Linked DNA regions of Mytilus edulis. The protein of the gene in region 3 purifies or fractionates together with the protein of the main gene of each other region. This does not show direct contact. Links are inferred from orthologs where the notes say so. Each region holds a gene or a part of one and is shown on either strand. Other genes may lie near its edges.

What was found.
Region 1: the proteins of E3 ubiquitin-protein ligase COP1-like (region 3) and serine/threonine-protein kinase 40-like purify together in Homo sapiens (affinity purification with mass spectrometry; 3 studies listed by BioGRID and IntAct, counting the BioPlex papers as one, with this or other methods). This does not show direct contact. The link is inferred for Mytilus edulis from reciprocal best matches to the Homo sapiens genes COP1 and STK40.
Region 2: the proteins of E3 ubiquitin-protein ligase COP1-like (region 3) and ETS translocation variant 1-like purify together in Homo sapiens (affinity purification with mass spectrometry; 4 studies listed by BioGRID and IntAct, counting the BioPlex papers as one, with this or other methods). This does not show direct contact. The link is inferred for Mytilus edulis from reciprocal best matches to the Homo sapiens genes COP1 and ETV1.
Region 4: the proteins of E3 ubiquitin-protein ligase COP1-like (region 3) and DET1 homolog purify together in Homo sapiens (affinity purification with western blotting; 11 studies listed by BioGRID and IntAct, counting the BioPlex papers as one, with this or other methods). This does not show direct contact. The link is inferred for Mytilus edulis from reciprocal best matches to the Homo sapiens genes COP1 and DET1.

What each region holds. Positions count from the first base shown.
Region 1 is NC_092353.1:43,069,614-43,077,607, reverse strand, and holds the start of serine/threonine-protein kinase 40-like, read right to left. Parts: upstream 3,004-7,994; 5' UTR 2,920-3,003; intron 1-2,919. UniProt on the Homo sapiens protein: May be a negative regulator of NF-kappa-B and p53-mediated gene transcription.
Region 2 is NC_092345.1:6,349,670-6,356,970, forward strand, and holds the start of ETS translocation variant 1-like, read right to left. Parts: upstream 3,023-7,301; 5' UTR 2,936-3,022; intron 1-2,935. UniProt on the Homo sapiens protein: Transcriptional activator that binds to DNA sequences containing the consensus pentanucleotide 5'-CGGA[AT]-3'. Required for olfactory dopaminergic neuron differentiation; may directly activate expression of tyrosine hydroxylase (TH).
Region 3 is NC_092345.1:8,285,234-8,292,220, forward strand, and holds the start of E3 ubiquitin-protein ligase COP1-like, read right to left. Parts: upstream 3,006-6,987; 5' UTR 2,857-3,005; coding exon 2,738-2,856; intron 1-2,737. Other genes in the region: DNA repair protein XRCC2-like, read left to right, coding at 3,228-3,260. UniProt on the Homo sapiens protein: E3 ubiquitin-protein ligase that mediates ubiquitination and subsequent proteasomal degradation of target proteins.
Region 4 is NC_092347.1:48,045,424-48,053,140, reverse strand, and holds the start of DET1 homolog, read left to right. Parts: upstream 1-4,712; 5' UTR 4,713-4,833; exon of another isoform or gene 4,834-4,849; intron 4,850-7,717. UniProt on the Homo sapiens protein: Component of the E3 ubiquitin ligase DCX DET1-COP1 complex, which is required for ubiquitination and subsequent degradation of target proteins. The complex is involved in JUN ubiquitination and degradation.

The DNA.
Region 1 (7,994 bases), on a different chromosome or scaffold from region 3:
ACAAAAGCAAAAACTGTACTGTTCATTCGTAGATTTCCGCAAAGCGTTTGACAAGCTGGACCGAAGAATACTTATGTATAAACTCCTTAAAAGTGGAATTAGCTCCAAATTTGTTACTATTGTGAAATCTGTCTATTCTTCTGTTAAAATGCGTGTTAGATCAGGTGGTATTTTATCCGATTCGTTCGATAATTTAATGGGGGTAAAACAAGGGGAGCCCTTGTCGCCTCTTTTGTTTTTATTCTTCATCAATGACTTGATTGAGGACATTCATATTGATATGCGGGATGATGTCGTTACTGTAAATAATATTCTTATATATCTTATTCTTTTTGCGGATGACACTGTTTTGTTTGGAAAATCACCAGAATTATTGCAAGAACTTTTAGATAAATTATTGAAATACTGTCATAAGTGGAACATTGAAGTTAATACTGAAAAAACAAAAGTTATAGTATTTAGAAATGGATGGCAACCAGTAAGTGCCAGATTCTTCTACGACAACAAAGAGTTAGAAATAGTAAATTCCTGTATATATCTTGGCATGATGCTTTATTTTAATGGAAAATTCGTACAGACTCAGAAACGTGTGTCCCAACAGGGATCACGAGCTTTATCGTCATTGTTAAACTCAGTGAAAGATTTGTACTTGTCAAAGAAGAAACAACTCGATCTATTTGACAGTATGGTGGCATCTGTTCTTAATTATGCTTCGGAAATATGGGGTTTCAATCGAGGTAAAGATGTTGAGATTATTCACAATCGTTTCTGTCGATATATTTTAAATGTTGGCAAATCTGTCCCAAATTGTTTTTTATATGGAGAATTGGGCCATTTTCCTATGTATATTATGAGAAAATTTAGAATTTTGAAATATTGGTTGAATATGTTAACTAACAAAACACCTATTGTTTATGATGTTTATAAATTGTTACTTGATGATGCCAATAATGGCAAAAAAAACTGGGCTTCTAATGTACGTGACTTACTATTTGATAGTGGTCTCAATTATATATGGTATCAACAATCAGAAATACATACTATTGGATTTTTTGATGTAATTAAGAATAGAATTAAAGATCAGTATATACAAAGCTGGTTATCAAATGTAGAAAAGAGCGAAAAACTTAGTATTTATAAGGATATAAAGTTAGAATTTAGGTTTGAACATTATTTAGATTTTTGTTATAATTCACACTTTTTAACTAAATTGCGAAGTGGTACATTCAAACTGAACATTGAAACAGGAAGATATACTGGCATGGCTAGAGAATTACGTTTATGTAAATGTTGTAATATGCAGTGTGTTGAAAACGAATATCACTTTTTATTAGTATGCCCTGCCTATAGATCAATTAGGCCTATATATTTGCCAAAATTCTATTGTTCTTGGCCAAACCTTACTAAATTACAGTATCTATTTAAATTAAAGTCTGTTTTACATATTAAAAGATTGTGTAACTACATTAAATCTGCTTGGTCAATCAGATCACATATTGTTACTTAATGTTATTTGCTTTCTTGTAATGATTTATATGTATTGATCTCTGCTGTTTATCATTTGTCATGTTGTAAATATGTTTTTCGTTGCTATAGCATATATATGCTTTTTGCAATAAAGTATTCATTCATTCATTCATAACTAGATACATTTTACATGTACATTCATTTATTTATTACTACAAAAAATTATTTTGAAGACTAATTCCAGCATACAAATGTATGTGTAATCAAATGTGATTGAGAATAAAAGGATGAATAAATAAGCATTCTGTGAGTATACATGTACACCTTATCACTATTTAATCCAATCTGGGAAAAGCAGTCATTTATACAACTTCCTCAATAAAGGTCATGATCATCAGTAGTGATCTAAGGGAGATAAAACTTTAGAAAGCGATCATTAAGAATTTTTGATAGAGTATGATCCACTTTTTTGAAATTAAAATTAAAGTAAAAAAATATTTTTGTTTGAAGTATTTACGGTAGTTTAAACAGGTCTCATTAAAAAGAAGCATGCATGGTGAATTGTTTAAACAGCGTCCCAGATAGCTTCAACTGGATGAAAAAGTTGTGTTATTTTAGAACTTATCTGGAATGGAATAAATAGTGATTAGGTTTATTGCATGGCAATACATGGTCCCCTACCAGTTAATAAATCATTTTATCATATATTAAGTACAAAATACAGCAATTTTGTATATCTAATAAAGGTTCTTTTTTTAAGTCTGTATCACCTACACTGTATCGCATACCCTGTATCACATAGCAAAACCTGTATCGCTTACCCTGTAACACATAGCAAAACCCGTATAGCATACCTGGCGTGACGTCATAAATCGAATGACGTCAACATTTGATCTATAACGTCCAGTTGCTGTTCCCGCTAAAACATGTCCCATTATTTCAACTAGTTTGATATAAATTAGTCATGTTGTTACCATAAACTAATTTGAAAAAACCTTAAATGTAAATTCCTTATAATGCTGGCTACGGCTCTTAGTGTTGTTTCTGGTGTTTCTTATTCTGCATTGACAATATAGTTAAAAAGTACAATATATCTAGTCAATAGGTGAACTGTTAAACTAGATAGAACCAGATAAAACAAATATTAAGTAAGGTAGTTTGTCCAATAGCCAGTGGTGAGAAAATATTAAAGAGCCCAAATAGAGTATTTTGGATTCATTGAACCATATAAAATTATGTTCAATATAGTAACATCATTATAGATCATTATAGTATAGGGTAAAAAAATTATAGATATAAACTAAGTACAAAGTTGGGAATAATATCAAATAGATAATATGTATATAAATGAACTTGTCCACAATAGCATGATCATTTCCTTAATTCTTTATCTTCCCGTATCTTTTAAAGTGTGAACATGAAGACATCAACCTATAATAGCTAGTAAATTACTTGTATTTTGTGTTGCAATATCATGCTGTCAAATGCAACTAGCCGGAAGTGATATTTTCGTCAATGTCTTCTAGACGTTTTTAAAAATTGTCCAGATATACCTAAATACAACCACGCGATCCCGTGTGAATATATAAATAAAAAAAAAATAGTTTAATGTCTCTTTGATATCTTTCGCCTTCCTTTGACATTAAATTCAAATAATGTTCGTCACAGAGCAAAAGAAGGAAAAATCATTTACGGTACCCATTGCTGAGCTCATATATACGTCTCTGATAATAGTAAACTTGGAATTGATAGTAAATAGCAAATACGTACACGCTATGAGTATAGCTATTTGCGGTGTATCTATGTTTTAAAATACAGAATAATGCGAAATATTGAAATTAATAGAAAACGAAAAAATAACAGATTTTTTACAAAAAAAAAGAGGGAGGGCAATTTTTTTTGTCCTTTCCCTAAGGACCTATATGGTCCAGTGCACAATTGAGAAGTTATTGAGTTTGGTGCTGAAGCTGTTAATGAAGATTTCTTGATCACAGAAGACCTTGCTGAAAATATACAAGAACTTGATTGTCTCCTTATTTTGTTTTGATCAATCAACATTGGTCTTAAAACGAAGTACTGTGACTCAAATCAGCATGGAGATCTGTCAGCAAACTGTTCAATTGGAAAAACTGGAGAATACAATGTACTTTTGCAAAATGTGTGGGAAGGATGCGACAGGTCAGTTAATTTGCAGCTCATGTCTAGAATGGTAACACTTGTTGAACGGCGATCAAAACTTAGAAACACACTCAAGTCAAAGAATTGGTTTTGTTAAAAATGTGAATGTTTGACTTAGTTTTATGCAAAATTTGAAGTTAAATTTTGAATTGTGGTTCATTGCATTTTGAATTGTGGTACATAACATTTTGAATTGTGGTTCATAACATTTTGAATTGTGGTACATTACATTTTCAATTTGAATAATTGCATTTTTGATTATGGTACATTACATTACATTTCGGTAAATAGATACGGGTTATGTTCTTCTCATATATGTTATGATGGTATGATACTAAACCCCTAACAGGAAGGATTGTGCCTGATGGGCATATGAGGAAATCATAATCTTTCAGTAAGTGTAATTGAAGTCTGGAGCTGGCATGTCAGTTAACTGCTAGTAGTCTGTTGTTATTTATGTATTATTGTCATTTTGTTTATTTTCTTTGGTTACATCTTCTGACATCAGACTCGAACTTCTCTTGAACTGAATTTTAATGTGCGTATTGTTATGCGTTTACTTTTCTACATTGGCTAGAGGTATAGGGGGAGGGTTGAGATCTCACAAACATGTTTAACCCCGCCGCATTTTTGCGCCTGTCCCAAGTCAGGAGCCTCTGGCCTTTGTTAGTCTTGTATTATTTTAATTTTAGTTTCTTGTGTACAATTTGGAAATTAGTATGGCGTTCATTATCACTGAACTAGTATATATTTGTTTAGGGGCCAGCTGAAGAACGCCTCCGGGTGCGGGAATTTCTCGCTACATTGAAGACCTATTGGTGACCTTCTGCTGTTGTGTTTTTTTTCTATGGTCGGGTTGTTGTCTCTTTGACACATTCCCCATTTCCATTCTCAATTTTACATTTTAAATTATGGTACATTACATTTTGAATAGATACATAACAAATGAATTTTAGTACATAACATGTTTAATAATTACATTTTGAATTGTTGAACTTTACATTTTGAATTGTTGAACATTACATTTTGAATTGTTGAACATTACATTTTGAATTGTTGAACATTACATTTTGAATTGTTGGACATTAGATTTTGAATTGTCGAACATTATATTTTGAATTGTTGAATTGTTGTACATTACATTTCTAGTTGTAATAAGTAAATTTAAAATTGTTGTACAATGTGCATTACTTTTTTGATAATTACATTTTGAAGGGTTGTGCATTGTACATGAGTAGATTATAGATGTAAAGTATGGCAATAGATACATAACAAATGAATTTTAGTACATAACATGTTTAATAATCACATTTTGAATTGTTGAACATTACATTTTGAATTGTTGAACATTACATTTTGAATTGTTGGACATTAGATTTTGAATTGTCGAACATTACATTTTGAATTGTTGAACATTACATTTTGAATTGTTGAATTGTTGTACATTACATTTCTAGTTGTCATAATTAAATTTAAAATTGTTGTACAATGTGCATTACTTTTTTGATAATTACATTTTGAAGGGTTGTGCATTGTACATGAGTAGATTATAGATGTAAAGTATGGCAATCTGAATTTCCGATTAAACAAAATAAGATCAACTCAAACATTTTGTGTTCAGTGCCTTTTGCAAAAAGCAATTCAGATTTTTTGATACTCAATCATCAAAATAATAACTGATCTTATTTCAGAAAGAAGCAACCCACACTTTATTTTTAAAAACTAGGACATATATATTGTTATACGTCTTTGTTAACACCAATTTTGATTAAAACAAAATGTTCTCTAAAACTGACACCATCAAAGTTCTTGATTTTTTATTGAATAATTTGTGCTACCTTTGAACAGAGACATATACTATGTAACATCGTATCATAAAAAGTAAAATCACAAAAATACTGAACTCCGAGGAAAATTCTAAAAGGAAAGTTCTAGTCAAATGGAAAAATCAAAAGCTCACACACATCAAATCAATGAATAACAACTGTCATATTCCTGACTTGGTACAGGCATTGTCCTTTGTAGAAAATGGTGGATTGAATTTGGTTTTTTTTTAGCTAGCGAAACCCCTCACTTGTATTGACAACGATGCTTGAACAAAACAAACAGACACAAAAGGTAAAAATGTAAACAAAAATGGTGAGCAGCAGTCAACATTGTGTTATCATCTTAATCACTATAAAACAAATAAAGTAATACAGGAGCTTAAAAGGGAGAACTAAACGAAAATAATGAAAAGAAGCTAGCGTGCCGCTATATAGACGATGTTTTTTCTCTGAAGAATTTGACATTTAGTGTTTGTACTTTTGGACGCATATATCAGTCCACCAATCTTTATAGAGAAATGATGATCATCACTAAAGGATATTAACAAAGATACAGAAAATCTCTTTCTTGACTTCAACATATACATAAATGACACGCCAGAAGGTATTCGCTCAAGTGTTAGTTAGACTCTTTGCAGATGATACCATAGTTTACCTGACCATTGCATCAGACGCAGACAGTGTGAACCTACAAGAGGACACAGGGCCGTAACTAACCTCTTTTAATAGTGAGGCAAAATATATTCGCCATGCCAAGAAATTGCCTCCGTTGAAATTTTGCAAACATCACATAGAGCAAATTACATGGATGATTATTATTAACCATTTGGTATATGGCCGTGTTCTAAGCGACATGTACATGCAGGTCATAAATTAATTTGTTGAATGAAATCCAATCTTTAACTACTAATAGGTGCCGCAGGAGGTCAACCGGAAATTTTAGCGAGGATTTCTTGGCATGTAACAGATAGAAAACTCAGGGTAAGAATTTATAGAGCAGACAAGGGGCAGTGGCAAATATTTCATGTATATTATGAACACAGAGAAGATTACTCTTTTCGGGCGTGGACTCCAAGCAGACAACATGCATGTTTTATAACGCAACTGTATATTTTCTTATTAAATGAAGAAAGTTGCCGGTCCAGTTCAAGGATAGATCGGTTAGAAAGCAAGGTTTTAATTTTAATTAGATTGGAAAGCTTAATGTGAGAGTTAAAATCGGAGAGGACGAAAAAAGGGGGGGGCGGGTTCTTTCACAGGGAATATTTTTATCTTAGGAACTCTACATTAGAATTTTTTTTTTAATTATTTATTTAAAAAAAAGAAAGGGAAAAACAATTGTAAGGCAAATTGTGAAGGTTCTTTCTTCCTTTCTCCCGTGGGGCTATCTCGCATATATCTGGTTTACCGTCAAACCGAGCGCATGCATGTCTTTTGGTTGTTTCTGTCACTAGGTGGCTGTATCATTGACGTTTATCCCATATTTTCATATTGAAGCACAATGCACACGTAAATATTGTTTTAGAACATGAATTTAAAGTTTCATGTCATGCATACTAAAGTAAAGAAAAGCAAAAAAGCAACTCAAAGAACTAAATAGAAAAAGACGAAATGATCTGATTTTCTGTACCTCAATTTTATTTAACTGAAACAAAAAAAAATGTCTTCACTGGGAACTCTCGAGCTGAAACCTACACTCTTCAGGTTAGCAGGGACAATACTCTGTCTTTACTTTTGTCATTTTTGCGCATTGGATCTTTAAAGACCCTGTCAGTGGTTCAAAGTATTGCTTATCAAAGACATGTCTACTGAGTTAACGAATGCTGCATTCGAATAGGGACAGCTCTATTCATTCTCAAAAATTTTGCAATCTTTTGACATAGAAAACACCCTTTTCTATTTAAAATAGATATTCTACATTATAAGGTGTCGACTTTAAGTTAGTAATGGAACTTGAATAACTTTGAAAAGTTTAATTTGAGATAAAACTTAAACAAAAGGTTGCCACATATGTAATATGATGGACACACCAACCTTTAATGACAGTACCCTTTTATGTTCCCTTATCCTTGGAAATCTTAAAAATCTTCAATATCTTCTTATTAATTATTGGTTTCCCCTTAAACATCTGACATTAATTTTAAACAGTTCTGCTTTAAAATTCATTATTTAAAATTATTAAAGGTTACGCTTTTTCATGTCCAGCGGCACATATTACAGTGTTATCCGGATTCATCGTTATACGATGCGGGAAAAATTGCTATTGTCAAGTTCAATTTCAAATAAATAGATTCGTGTTTCAACAAAACTATGATCTGATGTACAATGATTGGTGTATTCATTGTTGGTCTTTAATGACACTTTTATCATTATCTGCTATTTCATGGCGCCCAGCTGTTTTGAGTGTAGAAAGCTGAGACGCCCGGAGAGAACCACTGACTTTCGGCAGGGAAACTGTCAATCCTAGTCACTTAAGATTGGAGTCGAACCAAGCTACCACGTGTAGGGTTCGAACTCTGAAAT
Region 2 (7,301 bases), about 1.9 Mb from region 3:
CTGATTATTGGCAGTAATGAATAGGTTTGGGAGTATTTTGGTGTTGTAATAATTGACTTCCAATACCCTAAATTGAGCGTTCATTGGCAAATTCACAGCATATTCACAGTCGGTTTATTAAGTGAAATAAATCCAGGAAAATTGGTCTTCCTTCTAGTTGGGATAATAACATATCATTTTGTTTCTGGTGAATAATGTCTTTACCAATAATATCAGTATCATTTGGTTTGTAATTTAGTGAATAATGTCTACAACAATAATATCAGTATTATTTGTAAACAAAGAAAATCGTGGAGAAAATACTTTAAACAAACTCTTTTTGAAGGAAAATACACACAAACTTAACAAAAAAAAACCGTCTTTTTAAAAACTATGAACCCGGTTCAATCCACCATATTCTACATAAGAAAATGTCTATACCAAGTCAGGAATATGACAGTTGCTATCCATTCGTTTGATGTGTTTGAGCTTTTGATTTTGCGATTTCATTAAGGACTTTTTTATTTATCGTTTTCTCAATATGTCTTATCCAAATAAAATACCGAATAAAAACTTGCCAAGAGTAAAGCTCACGGATGTTTAAATCACAAGTTTACCCTGAGATTAGTACTCCAAAAATAGAGACTTGTTTCGCTTGTTATCGTCATATTTTGTTTTCATGCTTGTTTTTCTAAATGGAATGCTTGACTTCTGTATTGGTTCTTAAAATGATGATTTCATTTATGACAAACAGTCTGTTTAAGTTGGATTTTATGTTTCTGACTTTTCTGCAGATACGATTTTTTCCTCCCGAACGATGCCTCTCATTGCTTGTTTTATTTGAAGCGATATTTTTTCTTCCTCCAGTTAATGTTTGTCCCATTGTTTGGAGTCATTTGTTCCTGGATCAGACTTGAATCCTACCACTCTAGAGATAAATGATTATACTTTGTGATGAAACCGTTTGGTGTATTATACCTCGGGTGAATGTTTTTTAATCTACGATGGTTTTATCGCAGTTTGGGTTTTTTTTATGTCTAAACTGGTTTGTTAAGGATTAAGGATTTTCGTATGTAAACCACGATTGTTTTATGATGTTTATTCGGTTGTATCAAATCACAAATAAGCAGGATATCTAGTAAACCAATGTAATGTCCCATTTTCATTATTTTGTGTGGTGTCAAAATTAATATAATATCACACTGAAGTAGAAGAAGCACCTTACCTCAGATTGTTTGGTGGTTATGATATTAATGAATTTTATTTCATCTGCTGAATGCACTTTAATCAATCATGATTTTAGATATATATTTAGGTAAAATTAAGATAAAATAAAAACCAAAAAATAAAGATGAAAAAAAAAATGAAAAATGAAAAACAAACACCTAACAACTAATAAGACAAATGGCAATTCGATGGTTTAACATTTTAACTATGCAAACACATTCAATTGTCAAGACATGGTTTTCGGCATACCGCGAAATATGTACAATGAAAATAATATTTTCATTAGCAATGCTTACCCCCAAACATTTGAAAGTCAAGGATATACTACCGATACACGCACACAATCATAGTTTACCTTGAGTATGTTAAGATAAAGTGTCAAGTTGAAGTTGACGATTTTGATTTGTAAAAATATGTTGCAGTTATTGTTCTCATGGACATGTTCGTTTATGTTCAAAATGTTATTGCCTTTCCTAAATCACTTTTGACAGAATAAGCAAGAAACCGTTCAATGCATTAGTATATTCTTTTTATAACTTAAAACGGTAGAAAAGGTTTTTGTTCATATGCATAACACATAAAATAAATGAATCTAAAACAGGGAAAGAAATGAAGGACACAATGTGAAACAGAAGAAACCAGATTACAATCTTCTTCGTTGAATGAGATATTTAGAAACTTAAAACATAATGGTCTTGCGCGAACCTGGTGAAAATTATTCCAACAAACACGTGTTATGTGCATAAAAATCAGCATCATACCTTTACTTTAACAATTGATGGATAATTAACAAATTGATATGGTGTATTCACAACTTAAGAATGTATCTGGTTTTTTTTAACTATTAAATATTTGTACACAATGTCACTTTCACAAAGTATGCCGATTCATTAATAAGTTTACTGTTTTCATTTTCCCTTTCTTTTAATTATAAATATTATTTCAGCTAGAAAACAGTTTATAACATTAAAAACATATTTTACAATTATTCTTAACATTTACTGAATATTTAATTTGAATATTTATTTTGAGTTATATTGAACATTCTATAATGGAAAATGATTTTGTGTATAGTTAAATATTGCCGGAGAAATTTTATAAATAGGAAAGATCATAGATGTGAAGAATAATGAAATCCTATTTTCATAATGATTGTGATGAATGTTAATGACATTGAATTATATCCTACTCAGCAAGGTACTAGCAATCAGTAAATTCACATTGAAGGATATGTTTCAGTTTATTTCACACATTTTTGATTATTTTAAAATAGAACCATGTAATACTCTACTATTTCATCTTCTGAATACACTTATAATTTTGTTTTTTATCATTAATTACCTGTACAATATATACCAGTCACATAAACAATTGTGGCAACATAAAATATGTATTTCTAATGTTTAGAAAATCAGAATTAAAAATACAGATTTATTTAAAATAAAATAAAAGATTTACCTCAAATATACATTAAAAAAAAGTAAAAAAGATATTTTACGTGTGAAATTTACTAATTTACTAATGTGAAATAAACAAGTAGTAACCATCAAGCTGTTATAAAAAGTAAAAAAAATAGTAGTTATAATAATAATGACAATAATTATAATAATAATAATAAAAAAGATAATAATAATTATAATAATGATAAAAATTATACATTGAGAATAAAGAAAAAAATCATTATTCTAATTATTATATCAATAAGATAATTTCTGAAAATGTTTCTTACCTTAGAATCTGTTTATTAGGTAATTGTGTCCGATTAATAATCCTCAGGATATCTGCAGTATAATCTTCTAGTAATGAAATACGTCAACTTATCAATAACTGATTCAAACTTTGAAAAACAAGGGCCTTACATCTCCATCTTAGAAGAGCTTCTTTTTGATTGGCTGTTTACATCTATGCACGTGGGGAAGATCCAGACGACAAATCTCTGGCAAGAAAATCTGGTATTGAAGAAAAATATGCTTAAATCACTAATTAAACATTACGGTTTAGAACAGATATGATCTACATGCTTCAGTTGAAGCAAGGTAGCAGTTTCTTGAATTTTGATCTTAATTTTAAAACGTATAAATAACTTCTGATATTTTGCAAATGTTATCAAATGTTATCAAATCTCTTCATACCATTACTGTGAAGCAGTGTCCCATTATAACTGCATTTCTCTTTTTCAGTTGAATCGAAGCTTTTGTTTTTATTTTACTTAAACAGAATAGCCTGTCATTTTGATTTTGTTCGTTTTTATATTTATTTAACTTTATTTTTTAACATTATTAGAGTGTAATTGTCACGTTTCAAAATATCTGAATAGATAAATAAAATGTAAAATTTTAACTATTCCTCCCTTTTTAAATGCGTTTTACGCCTTTTTTGCCGAATTATATGAATTATAATACTAACAGACAATTGTCTTTTTACTCTGTTTTAAATTCGTATTACCTTTTTAAACATATTTTTTTCTACAAAGAAAAGAGAATAAATAAAAAGGTATTAAAACCTCACAATTAATGCACACATTTTGCATTGTCTATTGTCAATATGAGAATGCATTCAATTTTATCGGACAACAGTTGCAAATACAATCATCATTTTCTGTAATGATAATCAATAAACAACAAAATGAAGCGTGACAAGTGGGATAATATAGTAATATTTAGAAGTTTGACAGATTTGTCTTAACCATTTAAAGGTAAGATGACAGGGTTTCTTCCAGAAAACTACTTTTAATCATACGTTTTACTATGAATACAGACAATATTATCTGATAAGAGAATAAGAAAAAAAATGTAAAAAAGTATAATTTTTAAGCATATGAATAATAATGTTCTTAATGAACGTGTGTTGCATCAAATAAATCTTGCCAAAACCATGGAGGAGTGTTACTCAAACTGCCACGAGTCAGAATTATATTTTACGCCTTAATTCATTGAGGCTGCAATAAAAACAACACAATTTAAAATTGAATTATAAGATATTTAAAAAAATAGGAAAATCATCTACATATTTCTAAATCTTTTTATTATAAATATTAATATACCATTTTACAACAACTCAGTTTGATTGAAGATTTAAGTTTCAAGTTTTACGTTCTTAAAGATTTTAACTGGGCAATACGATGGGTAGCAAATATGAAGCAGGATCTGATTACTCTAACGGAGCACGTGAGATCACCCGTATTTAGGTTGGGTAATAACAAGACTTCAGTTTTTTTATTGAGTGTTATGTAGACTGTTATATGTATTTTCATCGTTTTTTTATTTTTAAGCCATGGTTATGTCTTTCTTCAAATCATGAGCTTCACAAGACAAAAATATCAAATCATACTATAAAATACTACGAAATGTTGATTATTTATAAAAAAAAAATGTGCATTTAAAGAATGGATTAACTTTGCTAAGATAGGTATAATATCACGAGGCTGATCAATATTCGTTCAAGCCACTGCTGGCGGAGATTTATTTCCCCGAGGGTATCACAAGCCCAGTTGTGCTGACATCAATTATCATTGATATTGTTATATTTATAAATTAACTGTTTACAAAATTTTGAATTTTTTGAAATACTAAGGCTTTTCTTCCTCAGGTATATATTACCTTAGTCGTATTTGGCAACACTTTTAGGAATTTTGGATCTCAATGCTCTTCAACTTCGTACTTTATTTGGCTTTTTTACGTTTTTGGATTCAAGCGTCACTGATAAGTCTTTTGTAGACGAAACGCGCGTCTGGCGTATATATAAACAATATAAAATTTAGTCCTGGTATCTATGATGAATTTATGAGTTTACTTTTAGCTTTCATTAAAAAATATATTAAAAATTCTATTCTTGACAATAAACATTAACATCACTCCGATCATGTAAAGTCTCTAATTTGGAGTGTATTTTTTTAAATTTACGATCATCATGCACTGATACTTATGTCATTATTTGACTTTCATTTAAGCACACGTAACATTGACGAAGACAAGTAAAAGTTACTTTGTAAATGATCGTCTGCTAATTTCAATACCATTTAATTTTATCTGTAACTTCAGTGATGTTGTAAGTTTGTATATACAACTGAATTTAAACTCGACAAAAACTTCAATCATGTCTTTTGATGTACGATTAGTTTTGCTGTCGGGTGCCCCAAGTTTTTCATTAATCCGCCCTGAAGTCGCATTGGCACTCGACATCAACACAATCATTTATTAGCCATAACTACATTGAAACTTTTAAACAGTGGAATTTGTACGAATAAAATTGTTTTCTTTTCGTGATTTTAGTTTCAAAGTTAACAAGAAAATTAAATGTGTACAATAGAGTTGATGTTAGTTTGATATAGTCCGTTTGATTTCTATAAATCTTCAGAAAATGAATCTTAAAAGTTCATTTTTACAAATAAATATTTTTTTTCTTCATGTATGTTAATGTATGATATATACGAACTCTGACTATGAATAACATAATTTTGAACCAAAAATCAAAAAAGTTACTCATTAGGTCTCTATGTTACTTCTATTGTTTTTAATATTAAATACTCAATGGAGTAAGTATGAGTAGTGTAACAGCCTTCCATTCAAAACAAAAACATAAGACATGTGCTTTAAACCTGTTTCATTGTACCATGTGACTTTACTCATTTGAATATTAAAGGCACTATACATGTTATGAAAAATGACCATCATCTAAGTTTTTTTTATGATTTTATAAATGAACTTACATTTATCTACAAAGATGTTATTAGTGGAAAAAATGTTATAAACATATGTTGTATTTTTTTTCCTTTCTAAACTTTTATTGTAACCTTAATTTGATTATAAATTTATACCTTCTGAAAGAAATTAAGCAAGCTTTTCATGCTTTAAGCATGGTGACAGTAGTAACAAAATGGAGAGGCTCTAAAAAGTTTTACTAATAATTATTTACAGAATATATCTGATATTTACCTTTTTCTTGAAAAAAAAACCAGCTAAATTATGACTTTCAAAAATGAAAATAAAATTAGATAACATATAACCCAAAATACCTTTATTATTTAAAGAGGCCTTTTTTAATATTGTTTTTAAATTATGCATTTTCTCCCTTACTTATGAATATAAAAGAAAGGAATTAACATGCCTCCAAAAATTTCTAAAGAAAAAAAGGATATAATTCTGAAAGTGTTCAACTATTTTCTTGCCGAGTCAAAGCGGGGAGCTCCATTTCATGCATGGCATAATACCACAAAAAGAACTGCCCACTGTTTGAAAGTTAGTGAAAGCTTTATAAAAAAAATGCTTGGTTCAGAAGAAATCTTGAAGTCAAAAAGTGTGTCAACTAAAAAGGACAAAATTGATCAGTTTGACAAAGATCTGATAAAAACTACTGTGCATAATTTATTTAGGAAAAATCAATGTGTGACATTAAAAAAATTAAAACAACTTTTGGAAAAAAATCATGAAATTAGTTTATCAAAATACAAGTTATGGAAAACTCTGCATGAGTAAGGCTTTAGATATAAGAGAGTGGATAAAAACAGAAAAGGTTTAGTTGAAAGAAAGGACAGTGTTAACCAACGCATACAATATCTTAGGACAATTAGGAAAAAGCGTGAAGAAGGTTATACTGTTATTTATTTGGATGAAACTTGGGTTGATACCAACCATACAACTTCCCATCAATGGACTAGTTCAGAAGATGCAAAAAACAGAAAAATACCCCTAGGTAAAGGTCAAAGATTCGTTGTTTTGCATGCTGGGTGTGAAAAGGGTTTTTTAAAGGGATGTGATTTAGTTTTTAAGGGTATCAGTACGGACGGACGAGATTACCATACGGAGATGAACAGCAAAATTTTTGAACAATGGATAGAAAAACAATTAGTTCCAGCTTTGCCAAAACAAAGTCTAATAGTAATGGACAATGCGTCATATCATAGTGTGCGTGTCGAGGGTACAAAACCTCCCACATCTAATTCCAGAAAAGGTGACATGATTGACTTTTTAAATAAACTTGGTGTTGAATTTGACATGAAAAAAACCAAACCCAAGATATATGAAATTATTAAATCCAAAAAAATTGACCCTGTATACAAGGTTGATGAATTTTTGAAAAAGAAAGGACATGAAGTT
Region 3 (6,987 bases):
ACAATTATTTTCACCAGTTTGATACAAATAACAGCAAACAGGGTTTTTCTTACATTTTTCCATTTTTTAACTGCATTAAAATTAAATGGTTAACATGGCTATAAGGACACAATGAAGGAGAAATAACTCATGATCATGAACTGCAATATTGAATAGTGAAAAATTTCTAAATAAATTTGAATCTGAATTCTGTTAAAAGAAATAACATATTGAAATTTAGAATGGTTATAAGGAGCAATAACTCCTGATCATAAACTGCAATACTGAATAGTAAAAAATTTCAAAATAAATCCTGATCTCCATTATGTTAATAAAAGAAACACTATATTGAAATTTGACAAAGATGATGGATCAAACATTCGCAATTTATTGCATAAAATTAAACAAAAAGTGACATTTCCCAACCAATCAACGACCAACCAAGTATCAAACATTGTGTATTAATAAAAAACATTTTAAATTTTGGTAAGCATTGGTTGAACCATTCTCAAGTTATTGACAAACAATCATTGAATTAAGGACCATATACATGTATATAATTACTTCAGTACGTACAGCACAAGAGAAAATCATAAATATCAAACTTGACCCTGAATCCGGGTCTGTTCGCGCCCAATCACGTTCGCACCCTTCCACATTCGCCCCCATTCACTTTCGCACCCCACATGTTCGCACCCAAATTTTGCGAAAAGTTCGTTCGCACCCCACACGTTCGCACCCAATTTTACCGATTTTTTGGAAGTGTATTGGTATAAATATATATGCCATTGTTTCTAAATAATTCGAGATACTGACAAGTTTTTTTGTGTCATGACAAGTTTATAAAAAAAAAGTCCTTGTTTTTAAGTCTGATTATGTTATTCTGGCAACAACTATTTCATTTGTGTATTGAATAATACTTAATCGTGTTTTGGTTAGTGTATTGAAATAATTTGTTTTTCACTGTTTCTAGTCAATTAAGTGCGAATCTGACAACATGTTGAACAACTGGTATGCATGGTAAGTGTATTGCTATGATTAATATTTATTTTATTAGTATTTACATCAAAGCAATTTAAAACAACAATCATGATTTTTTATAAACAACAGTAAACAATAACACCAAATTGGGCTGTTTATAAATACCAATTAGCAATAATCATACATAATCAACATTTAATAATTAATCATCAGATCGATAAAAAAAAAAAATTATTCAATAAATTCTCAAATTATATTCATATGAATAATTTCGAACAATTTCACTTAAATTTTATTAAAAATTGGGCGCGAACATGTAGGGTGCGAACGGACGTGGGGGGCGAAAATGTGAGGTGCGAACGTGTGGGGTGCGAAACTATATTGGGCGCGAACGGACCTGATACCCTTGACCGTCATCCTATCAAAGATACAATGTACATGTACCAGTACTAGTAGTTTAAAAAGCATTTATCAAACTGTTTTCAATTATTGCAAGGAAACAACTTAGACTTATTTTTCCCCTTTCACAGGTACAATAATCCCTTGCCCAGGCCCTCCTTTTCTGGAAAAAAATTGGTTGATTATAAAGGAAATCACTGAAGCTTGACCGAAGCGGACCCCCACTTAGGCAGTCAGTGGGCCCCACTTATGAAAATTTCTGCATCCGCCACTGATAACAATATAAGATAATGACCAGTCAACAACCTGATAATCCTGCCATGCCTTTGATGTGCATACAGGCCCTAACCTCTCCTCCATTATGTTTGAATTTAGTTGTTTTGTGATGAAGATTTTAAATGCTTCAACATGATAAGATTTATTTGACTGAACATATTGTTGTGAGCCAACCTTTCACAAAGAAAATAAGTATTTACAAGTGTATTATCTAAAAACTATTCTTGTCATACAAAATGTTAGTAAAGGGCAACAATTACTATAAGTTTTGTTACTGAATGCCTGGAAAGCCTTTTGCTTATCATTCTTTATATCATGCTTAAGGCATGTAAGGTGTTAGTACAACACAAGAAATAAGACTTAAAAGAAAAACATTACAATCCAAATAATGCATTGGAAAAAAATAATATTTCCTGTAATCACTTAATGATACTGGAATATTGAAGCTTCAATATGCAAATTTTGTGACATTCAATTTGGTGGCATCAGATGACTTTCAATTCCTTTGATATATACAGTATTGCTACTTTTTCATTTTATATACTTCTTCTTTATATACAGAAAAACATCAACTGGTTGATGATTACTTTCCGGCGCATGCCTGGTTTAACAATATTGTTAATGATTAAAAATATATATTTTTGGTTTATAATATATATATTATCTTTTTGCCTTTGTTCCATTCTTTAATATTATTTTACTATATGTCCAACAGGGACTCAAAATTGGAAATTAAAGATGTCATTGTACATGTTGTACATGGTGTAATGTTAAAACATGTTAACTGTTCCAAAGATCAGCAGTCCACTTTTAAGTGATTTGCAAAATTTTGGAATTCATAACATGTCAGGCTATCATTTTTGTATTGTATTGCCAGTTGTATTTAAAATTTCAACATGACAGATAGATTCAAAAAAGATGATACATTGCATAAAGTCAAATTGCTGCATTGGTGATTTCTATTTGAAAATGCGTGGGAGTGCAGACGACAAATCCATAATTTCTCCGCTGTACATTATAACTTTTGAACACGCGGCGAAAAAAATAAGCTGTCGATAAAGAAACAATGCAGAGCAAATAATAAATGCGATCACTGTCTTACCAAACAAAATCATTGTCTTTGTCCTCAAATGACCCACTTATTCCGGTATACACGGGTGGCAGAGTTCGACTTCTTTTTCGTCTTGTACGATCAGCTTGCTGCTGAGTTCTTCCAGCCATTATTGAGGAATCAAAATGTCACATGCCAAAATATAAAATCAAATGCTGCATTCATTTTTGTTTCCTAATCTTTGCATTAAACATTGGACAAGCATAGTACAAAATGTGTATCGCCAAAAACATCAAAGGAACATCAAACGGAAATTAACAGACTGTTTTGATTTTGTGCGCATGTCGGTGAATCCCAAATTCCGAAGTCCTTACATCCCCAAAAAATATTACGAAAAGCAGCACTGAACGGATATTTTTTGTCAATAATCATTACTTTTAAATATTTTGAATAAGATATTCTATTAAAGTATCATCAAAGCGAATACAGAAACACTGCAGTTAACACTTTTTGTTATTGATTGTAGCGACATGTGGGAAATATGAATCTGTCAAAAGTGGAAACTGGAGCACAGGTCTTAATAAGTTTAATTGTGTTTCACAGTGCATGTTTGAAACGGTAAACGGACAGAAAGTCACAGGACAAAAAGTCACAGGACATAAAGTCACAAATTTGATAGGACAAAAAGTCACAGGACAAAAAGTCACAAATAATTTGTTGACAATTGTTTAAATAGGCCTATATCAGTTGGAAAGCAAGTCCTTCGATACGGCCGTTGTCGTCAAGCTCTATCAGCAACAATAGCAGGGGGAATTAATTAGGTGGCGCTACAGTCGTCCGTAACGTCAAAAAGTCCGCCAAATCAATCGGCTAAAAGATTGACGTTTAAAGTATTTTTTGCAACTTGTCATGCTTTTATTACAATTAAATTTTAAAATTTGTAGGTTTTGTGACCAATATAATTTCTTTACGACATACAAACATTACAAAAAATAGCTTGTTATTGCTATTCCTTTATCCTGTCAGTTCTAAAAAAAATTAGCCATCTTTTTGTTCGCCAAAAAAAAATGATTTTTCCTAATTTGACGTTTGCATATCCAAATACAGAAAAGAACGGTTATAATCTTAAATGAAACCGGGAAACCTATTTCAAATTTATACACTGTTTTGAAGCCATCATTTTTTACTTTTATACATCAATTTTAGTGACCACCAGCCATGTCAATTTTTATCTGGTTTTAGCTACGTTTCTACTTCAAAACAGTAAAGTTTAGCTTCTTTTCATTGTACCTGTTTCAAAGTGCTCTAAAATACTGATTTTATTAAAGACATGAATGAAATTTTGATTAAAAGTTGTGGATTTTCACAATTCCATACGATACTTGTATTTTAAAGTAACTAAAACCCCTTTTGATCCCCTACATAAATTGACGGTGACATTGTTTTCTTTTTTCAACATACGTCACATAACGTTTATAACAAAATATGTGTCAGGGTCATGTGCATAGTAAAAATTTACACATTGGAAAAGTGAAACAACAAACAAAGATCTTCTTTATTGCGTTTAAAGCTAAACGTCTTGGAAAATTCTGACAGATCTGACAAATTATTGATAGCCTACTCTATGGATGGACAAAAGCACAAAAATAGCAATAGAAAATGCATTGCAAAGAAAATTTTGTGGGAAAAAAACATATGAAAAAAGAAAATGAAGGTCAGTTAATAAAATCTTGCTTATATTATTATCTCTTTACTTAGTAAGCTATATTTCCATTCTCAATTTTATAGTAATAAGAGCAAAAACTAGCTTATCAAGCCAAGTCAGCCAAACAAGAAGTTTATTCATAGAGATGTGTTGTTACAAAATTGAATTTATTCAAATGGCAAATTCTTGTCAAATTTAAGCATCTTTGATCATTATTGAAGTAAAATGCACAAAATCTGTCCCACCAGTTTCATTTCATTTCCTATTACTAGTATTCAGGTAAAGTATATATACAATACTTTGTTTATAAATATGTAATTATTTAAAGAAGCTGATACAGCAACCTGTTCAAGAGAAGAAGCCCCATTTTTTCCAAAAAGTTTACTTTCATAATCTATAAAATACCCTGAGAAATAAGACAAAGGGCTACTGTGCAAGCTAATCTAATAGTTTAATTTTACAATAATAATGATTCTGAAATTCAAAATTGTGTCACTTTCACTTACTGTATAATTTAAAGCATATATTTTTTTTACAGAACTTCTGTCAATATTTTTGGTATGAAACTTATAAATCCCTTTTTTGTATTTTATTGTTCAACTAAGAAACATAGGCTTGAGTTTAAAGGCTCTCTTAATTTGAAGAAATTTGTTGAGACTCTTGGTCACACTTTATAGAATATAAAATATATATGATCAATACTATTTATTTGATAATTATATCAATTTTCACAAAGATTATTGAAATTGTATAAACTATGTTTTATTGCATTAAATATAATCAAAAAATTCTGCATCATGAAGTATATATTTTCATCCGCCAGATCTAATTTCTTTCAGTATAGCTAGGTTTTTAATTTTACATGTAGGTGTCATTATCCACATTTCTGAATTGTTATTTTTTTTACTGCAGTAATATTTTGCCTTTTAATATAAATTTAATATAAATTTTACATTTAATTAGTCCTTCTCTGAAAAATAGGGGGAAGTATCTCTTCTTTATATTATCATAACATAGTTATAAATCGAGTTTAGTTTATTTTCTTTCTAATTTTTGTAAAGTAAACTTTTTTTTTTATTTTTTATGCATTTTGATGGGTTTTTATTTTTGACTGGTGATATTAAGGGGAGATAACCACTTGCACAAATCGGCATAAAAACCACCGCTTCGGTTTGAAATCAATTTGACGTTTGCGTATCCAACATTCTATTGCCGAGATATTCATATCGAGTGTTTGTCTTAATGAGATGCTTTATTAAATTTAAATTCAGCCCATCATTTTTAGTTTCCTCGTAAATATTTAGATTTTTCGTTCAGGAGACTTGACAATTTTCACCCAAACTCCAAGTTTGCAGATAAAATAAAGAATAAAGGACTTTGATTTGATGTGTGAGCTTTGACGAGAATAAACTATGGATACTCAAGATTAGTTAGGTCAATAAGTTTTTATTACGACAATAGTATTTAGTGAGTTAAAATGAGGTTTGTCTCAACCGTTTTTTTACTGAATTTTCACGGTCACGTGACTCTATTGTTGCTGATAAACTTGGGGTCAAACCGTGACCTGCTTTCCAACTGTATAAGAGAATATCTTGAAATATTTACTTTTTAATACATATATTCATACTAAAGTTGAGGAAATGTGTCATTATACTTGAAAAATGAAGATTTATTTAATTTTAATCATGCAAAAGATATATTTCTTGGCACCATGAAGCCATTTAAGTGCAAAGCAACTTTGACACTATGTTTTTTTAATAATTATTTGATCATCTTAAATATTTTTTTGATAAATTTTGTTTACAAAGTTGGTTTATATACAATAGTTCAAGAAAAATACAAAAATATTTTTGTAGAAATAAGGGTTTTTTATTCAAAGAAAATAATCAGAAAAAATGAATTGTGACTTTTTGTCCTGTGACTTTTTGTCTGTGACTTTTTGTCCTGTGACTTTCTGTCCTACATTCGTTTGAAACGTGTCATTAATTATTCTAATGCAATTATTTTGCAACAATTGTTCTGATTGGATAACAGCAAGCGTAAAATTCTCTATCTCCTTGTCTGTAACTAAGGAAGCCGACATTTTGAATTTCGGAATGTATTGACATGTTATTTCTACAATAATAAACAAAAAACTCACTTGTTGCGCCTAAAAATCTTCTTTTTATCAAATTTTATTACATTCTGAAGCGGCACAGAAGCCAGAAGACGCCCGGTGTTTATGTTTGACGCCGGAAGCATACCTATGACGTCACCTAGTGTAGGGACCAGGTAAACTAAATTTGCGACAGTAAAACTACCGATGGACGTCCTTAAAGCTTCAAATACAATACAGTTATCTCTTAATTCAGTAACTGTAAAACCATTTTAAACTATGTTCAATTCATTTATAGATTTTATTGTTTGAAATAAAATCAGGAAGGAACATATAAATATATATATACTAGCTGTTCCCAGATAAAATATATTTACAGCTTTTACATTAATGCTAGCAAGACAAATCTTTGTTTGGCTTGCTTGCTTTGTTTGTATCAATGTTTGCTCAAGCATGGCAATTAAGATAGGCGGGGCTTCAGCTTGTATACATCATACTTAT
Region 4 (7,717 bases), on a different chromosome or scaffold from region 3:
TTTCCCTTTTGACTTTGTCAGTAGGGTGCTTAAAATATACAGATGTGGCAGGGTACTTACACATCTCTCAAGATAAAACAGTATTTTTTTTTTTAAATTATCTGAAATGAAAAAAAAAATAAAAATAGTCCTCGCCCCACATTTTTTTCACCTCCACCCCTTTAAAATTTGTTTAAATGAAATGATAGGACCGCAGTGGTTGAACCCTAAACAGTTGGTGCAAGTTTGAACACAATATTCAAGCTGGATACTGTTTGAATTTGTATTGAAATTTTGTTTTTACATAATATAGGTTTCTGACACCAAAAAAATGTGGTCAATGATCTTACAAATCTTCTTTCTTGTTGAAACTTTTCAAAAATTTGAAATATTTGGGGAAAAAATATGAACCCCTGGTCCTCAATTTTTTTTAGAGAGATCCATGCACATAAACACAAATTATAGTCTGGAAACTAGAAAAGTTGCTTGGTTTTTGCCCCTTTTTGGTCCCAATTTCCTGAACTATACGGACAATTACCCCCAAAACTCAATCACAGCCTTCCCTTTGTAATATGCAACCGTGTGGTACAATTTCAGAAAGATCCATCAATAACTAACAAGTTGATTTGCTTGGGGTCGTAGACAAAGTCTGAAAGGAAATATTTTACATAGGAAAATGTTGGCGCCAGAAATTTCGCCTGCAGCTGTATTTCGTCACAAGATGAAAAAAAACATCGCATATTACAACATTGGCAATGCACAGCGCGGTCACTGCACATAATTTGTACTTTTTTTTAATTGTCCATTACCCAGGAAACTTTTGTTTCCCCCCCTTAGACAATCCTAACCATCCCTGTGTGGTATGGAAACTTGTACATGCGGTGTAATTTTAGAGAATTCATACACTGCTCCACAAGTTATTGTCTGGAAACTAGGAAAAAGCTTATTTGGGCCCCTTTTTTCCTAAACAGTTAGGACCACAACTCCCAAAATCAATCCCAACCTTACTTTTGTGGTCATAAACCTTGTGTTTAATTTTCATAGATTTCTACATGTATGTTATTTTTTAGAAATAGAAATTTTATGAGTGTATAGGACTTCTGTTGTAATCTGTGGTAGGCAATGTTTACAAGTCCTTCTGGGTTTTTTTTCAGCCTGGAGTGACAGGACTAGTGATCCTGTCAAATCCTGAATGTGCAGTTTCAATTAATGCCCGTCATCAAAAACAGTTTAATTTGCGATCAGTCTATTTTTGTATCTCAGATAAAGGAAATGTCTGTACACATGTACAACAAACAGAACAAAATTTGTTTATTATCTTTTATTGAGAGCATAACAAAATAACATAAAACATCAGATATGGAACTTTTTATTAAAAATCAATAATGTGCATGTGGATCAAATCTTTTCATCTCCTGCAGAGATTCCTCTTCTTTTGACCTTGTTTGACCTGTGAATTTTAATGATGACTTCTAGACTAGGTATACGTACAAAAATGTATCATAACCTTGATAGAGCTATGGACTCATCCCATAAACCCTAATATACATACATGTTTTAATCAAGGAAAATGGATATTGTTTTGTATGCAAGATGAAAATACTGTAAACCAACTGATTTAATTGAATGATTAATTTCCCCCAGACTTTGGCAAGCAGAAAATATATGAACTTGGAAACTCACTAACATGATAATCATGGTTCTTTTTTACTGAAAAAAAATCTTATTATAATGATTACCTGTTACATGTGAATACTAGGGCTTGGACACAAAATAAAGCTGGTAATCTTTCTTTAATAACATAAAAATATCATTTCAGTGTACCAGAATTCTGACCAATATTTTAATATGAAATAGTGCTGCTGGTCATGACACATAAAATATTGTATTCCACAACAATTTAAGAATGGGGCAACCAAAATTAATACACTGCACTGGAATTACAAAAGTTCCTAATTTTTTTTAATTACACAATAGATAAATTGCTTCGCTGAGCGCAGCTGGATTCCATGGATGAGGTCCAACCCTGAACAGTTGGGGCAAAAATTACCACAATATAAGCACTTGATACAGGTCTAAATTTGGATTGTAATTAAATATTTTACACATAATACAAAATGTAGGTTTTAACACAGAATGACTGTAGTCAAAGAACTACATTTGAATTAATATTATTATTTTTGCTTTTGAGTAATTCATTTAATATGCTGTTACAAATAGACAATTTTCACAATCTACAAGCAATATCAGGGAGGTAATCTAAAAAATACACAGCATAGTGCTTTAATGAGATTGGATTACCTCCCTTAAACTGCTTTAAAATTGTCAATAGTGATCATTAGTCCATTAATCATCACACCCTTGTTTTCCCCCTTTTTTGCCCCCAATTCCTAAATAGTTTATGCCATAACCTCCCAATATTATTATCAATCCTACCCATCCCTTTGTGGTTTGGATACTTGTGGTATAATTGCACAAAGATCCATACACTTTAACACAAGTTACATGGGAATTGTCTGGAAACTACTAAAATGCTTATTTGGGTCCCTTTTTTGGCCCCCAATTCCTAAACTGTTTAGATCATACCCCGAAAATCATCCCAACCTTCCTTTGCGGTAATGAACATTGTGTATAAATTTCGTGGATTTCTATTTACTAATACTTATTGTCCAGAAACCCAACTGTCTTCAGACAACCACAAAATGATATCAATATATGACCGCAATTTCTTTTTGCAGTCGTATAAAAATAACTGATGCCACAATGAAAAAGTGATTGAAGTATCATGACACACACTGGCCTTTAAGTTCAGTGTTTGCATGGTGACTGTATTGTTAGTGTTACAGTTAGGGAGTTACATTATTCTGAGTATTGCATATCTCAAGTTTGTTCCAATTTGCAGCCTGTCATTTTGTAGGATACAATATTCTGGATGATTTTTAACTGCTCTATACAAAATACAGTTGTCTGCAATGAATGTGTTTTGATGTTACTTTTGCAGTTACATTTACAGGGGCTTGTACATGTTTAGTGGGTCAGACAAGGTTTTCCTGTCAATGGTGGCGGTACCTCAAATGACAGAATAACACTTGAAATTTTATATAAGCACATACCTATTGGTGACTTTTAAACATTGATTATGTAATAATATTATATTATCAGTGTATTTTATAACTTAAAATGATATGTAGAAAGCAGGTACGTTCATAAAGATCATTATAAATTTAGTGTGTACATCCAATAATAGTGACCAAGGCAAACACAATGGCTGCCATGTTGGATGCATGTACACACTATATTTAAAAACATCTTTATGAACTAACCTGCTTACTGTTAAATTATTGTTAAATAATCTGTTTTTTATAAGTCACCGATATGTTCTTATATATAAGTGTTATACGGTTATTACAAATGTTATTCGAATTATAGCGGTGTTATATTTTAGTCATTTAGGTTACCCGAATCATCGGGCAAATGGGGTGTAGAATCCTATTTAGGCTTTTATACACAGTGGAGAAGACTTCATTATGGGTGGAGTTCTTGTAGAGCGGTCTTAAATGCCCCTACAGAACCTGCATGCACAACTTTATCTGGTAGTTGGTTCCAAAGACATATTCAAAACAGGTGACAATCATATATATGATCTACTCAGATCTGTCTTAACCTAATACACCTCATCACTAATCCTGGCTGACCTGGCCGCTTGAACTTTTGATGCAAACAACAATCACTTTTCCATTGTGGCGTCAGATATTTTGTTTTATGACGTCAACATTTTACTGGAACTTGTGTGATATCCAGTAATGGCGGACAAATAGCGATTATCTGGAATAAAACAAGATCCTAACCAACTTGAACCATAACTTCAGGTCAGAAAGACAGGATGCTCATGTGAAACCCAACTCTGAACTACCATCAACGACTTCCTACAAGTACGTACACGACAAGGGACATCAAATCGACGTAGGCATCCATTAGGATTTCTCAAAAGCTTTTGATACAGTACCACACAACAAATTATTCCATAGGTTAGATCAATATGGAATCAATTTCAAAGGAAACACACACAAAATTATGGTTTATGAACTTCCTGCCAGATTAAAATGCGAACCATCGAGGAAGGCGAATCATCAGACGAAAAAACAATTGACTCTGATGTCCCTCAGGGCACCGTTTTATGACCAATCCTGTTCCTGTGCTACATATATGACCTCCCAGACAGCGTAACATCATCAGTAAGACAATTGTACAAAATTAATGTATTCAACTTTCGTTTCCTCAAATTATGCCCTTCTCGCGATCGGTCAACTATGTATTATAAGGAAGATCATCTTTATTTTGCAGTATACTGAATTTTCTAATGCAAAATATCTGACGTTATATTTAAATATAGGACTATACCATACCTCAGTATCGATGGTTGTTTAATTTGAGCTAGTGCGGTGTTCTTTGCAGCAAAGATCGATTCTTGGAAAAATGGCGATAGCGTGGGACTGAAGAATTTACCCGAATCGTCTCGGAAGTTTACATAGAGTTATGTAAAAAGCCTAGAAATATCCGAAGGGCGAATTATGGCGTTACCTCATTCATTCCAATATTTATAAAAAATACCATATTTAATTCTAGTTACAAACACATAATATTAACTTAAATAAAACTAGAAAAAAATGTATTATATGTCATAAAATTAAAAAAAATATATATGACAGAATATGGTAAAGAAATATTTCGGAACACCTCTTGAGTTTTCTTTCTAAAAAAATATGCAACAGAGCAGACTTGCATTTTTATTCAAAACTGACAAAAAGAAGACATTCCTATGCTGTTTTATTATCTTTTGCACCCTTCTTATGTGTAGGTTTTATTTTATGTAAGACTGACGAGTTAAGGATTATTCTATAATGACATATTTGTACAAGCATTCAAGCATTGATCAGTTATATCAAAAACAAAATTTCATGATGGCATAAATTATTTTTGCTGTAAATATAAAACAACATGACAAAATAAATCCTTTATTTTGATTGAACAGGAAACAGAAGAGCACCCTTCCATGTATTCTCTAAGAATTTGTAATTATAATAATTAAAAAATAATAATGGAGCCACCATTGGTCTTGATTTTTATTTAGGAGGGGGGAGGGTAGGATAAAAAAATGGCATCAGGTTCGTTTGCGCCCAATACACTTCCGCACCCTACACATTCGAACCTTGCAAGTTCGCACCCTACACGTTTGCACCCGATTTTAAATCAAATTCCAGTTGAATAATTAGAAAATTTTGATTGCTGTTTTAAATTGCTTTGATGTAAGTACATACATGACATAACTTGGTATAAGTAAAACATTGGACATTTTTAAATGAAAAAGACAAAAGATAATTGTTTTAACAGCTTGGATCCTTTGATCTGAAGCAATGAAACAAAAGTTATAGCAATACACTAACCAAAACATAATTAAAATTTATTCAACACAACAACAAAAGTTGTCAGAATCTCACTTCATTTTGAAGCAACGAAATAAAGTTATAGTAATACACTAACCAAAACATAATTAAAATTTATTCAACACAACAAAAAAGGTTGTCAGAATCTCACTTCATAATCATTTTGAAACAATGAAATAAAGTTATAGCAATACACTAACCAAAACTGGCATGATTAAGATTTATTCAACACAGAAAAAAACATCGTCTCGTCACTCATGAACTTTATTTTGAGACAATGACAACAAATATACTTACAGGAATACACTTTGTGTTTAACAATGTTGTCAAAACTTGATTACAATGTTGTTAAACACAAAACCAATAACAATTGGGTGAGAACGTGAAAGGGGGTGAACTTGAATGGGCGCGAACAGACCCGGAGTCAAAAAAAATATTGTCCTGTTTTTTTTTTATTTAAGTGTAACTTGGTCCTGCATTTTTATTTTTCACTCTATTGGGTCCTGACTATTTTTTACATTTATAAATTATGAATTGTCATCATGTCTTTTATGTTAAACTTTTAATTGAACTTAAAACTCCTGTCCTGTCTATTTTTTTTTCTTCAAATTTCATCCTAGACTCCTCCCCCTAAAAAATCAAAAGGTAGCTCCCTGATAATATTTTTTCTTATAGTTGTGGTCTGTTTATACATGTATAGATCTATTTCTTGCATTAAAAGATAATTCTTGTATCACACTCAGTCACTGCAGTGTACAGGGTATAAAAAAGAATATTTTTACTTGCCCTAACCTTACCTACCCAGAAAATAGCTGCCTACTCAAAATCTTTTATTGTCCTGCTGTGATTATTTTTTAATCAGATAGACATTAAGACTAAAAAACATCTAACACTTCAATTTCTCTTTGCCTTAAAATAAAAAAAGAAAAATGCCTACCTACCTAGCCCACTGTGTGTACCTTTGGATATGGTTTGGGCAAACCAATATATTTTTCAATTCTGGCCCAGAGAGTAAATTTTACGTTAAAAAGTCAAACGAAAATCTGCTTTAGTTTGATTGGCTTGTCAAGTATCACAAGATGATATAATACTTGTACAGCATTTCCTAGTCTATTGGCGATTCGTTGGGTCACTGATGACTTTCAAAGGTTAAGAAGATAAACATTTCATCCATGGCAACATACATCTATGTGACTTCTTCAATAATAAATTAAATACTCACACATTTCACCTGACAATTTTCTTTTTGTCATATTTTATTACATTCTGAAGCGAACATAAAGTCTTAAAATGTTGGATGTTAAATTATCTCCTCTGATACTCTCTGAATAACTATATACAAATAAATTCAGTCTTTTATGCAAAACAAATCATGAAAAACATACAGTTTTGTTTCATGAACATATTTTGTTCATGTTGTTAATCATACAAGACCAATATAGGGATTTTAGAATGAACTAGCTATACATGTATGCATAATATATAATTCACAGAGTAACCATGTAAACTCAAACTTCATATAGGCATGATAGATAAAAGCGTAATTGTTCAGGTCATAAAAAAGAAAGTAAAGAAGAGTAGCATGATTTTACCACTGTTTTTTTGGTGTAAACTAAAACTTCAAATGGAATAGGATCTTTAAAACATCTGTTTTAGGTATACAGATTAACACATTTGTCATAATTTGAGAAGATTATTCTGCATACAATGGGTTACACATTTTTGCTGTTATCTAGTATAAATAAAAAATATCCTTTAACCTAAGTCTTTGTTATATTTAGCAGCATTTCAATGAGTGCAACTTGCCTGACAGGAAATACCCACAAAAGTACTAATATACAAGTTTTAGCTTTCTTAAAAGCTGTGGACTGCTTCGCTCTATCCTAATTTTATGTAATTTGTGTGCATGTGGTATTTTTAGATAGTTGATTGATATAAATTAGATTTACTTTAAGAGTGTGCGTTATGAGTGTGCCTCTCTGGAGGGGTGTCTAGATTAGGAGAAGTTATAAAATACAGATTATGCTTTTTTGAAAACGTTGTATAGGAACATTGTTTACCAAAACAAATCGTGCATATTGCAGATTGACAAAGCAAATAAACATGTATTGATAATTGTTATTTCAATATTGAATTTCAGTGTGCAATACATGTATATGCATAGTAAAATGAACATGAATTAATGACAGATGATCGGAACTGATATACTCTTAGTTAGTTTTCAGGCTTTAAATGACTTATCCTGAATGAGAAAAGTCTGTAATTCTTTATCTCATTTAAACCAATGGCTGTTG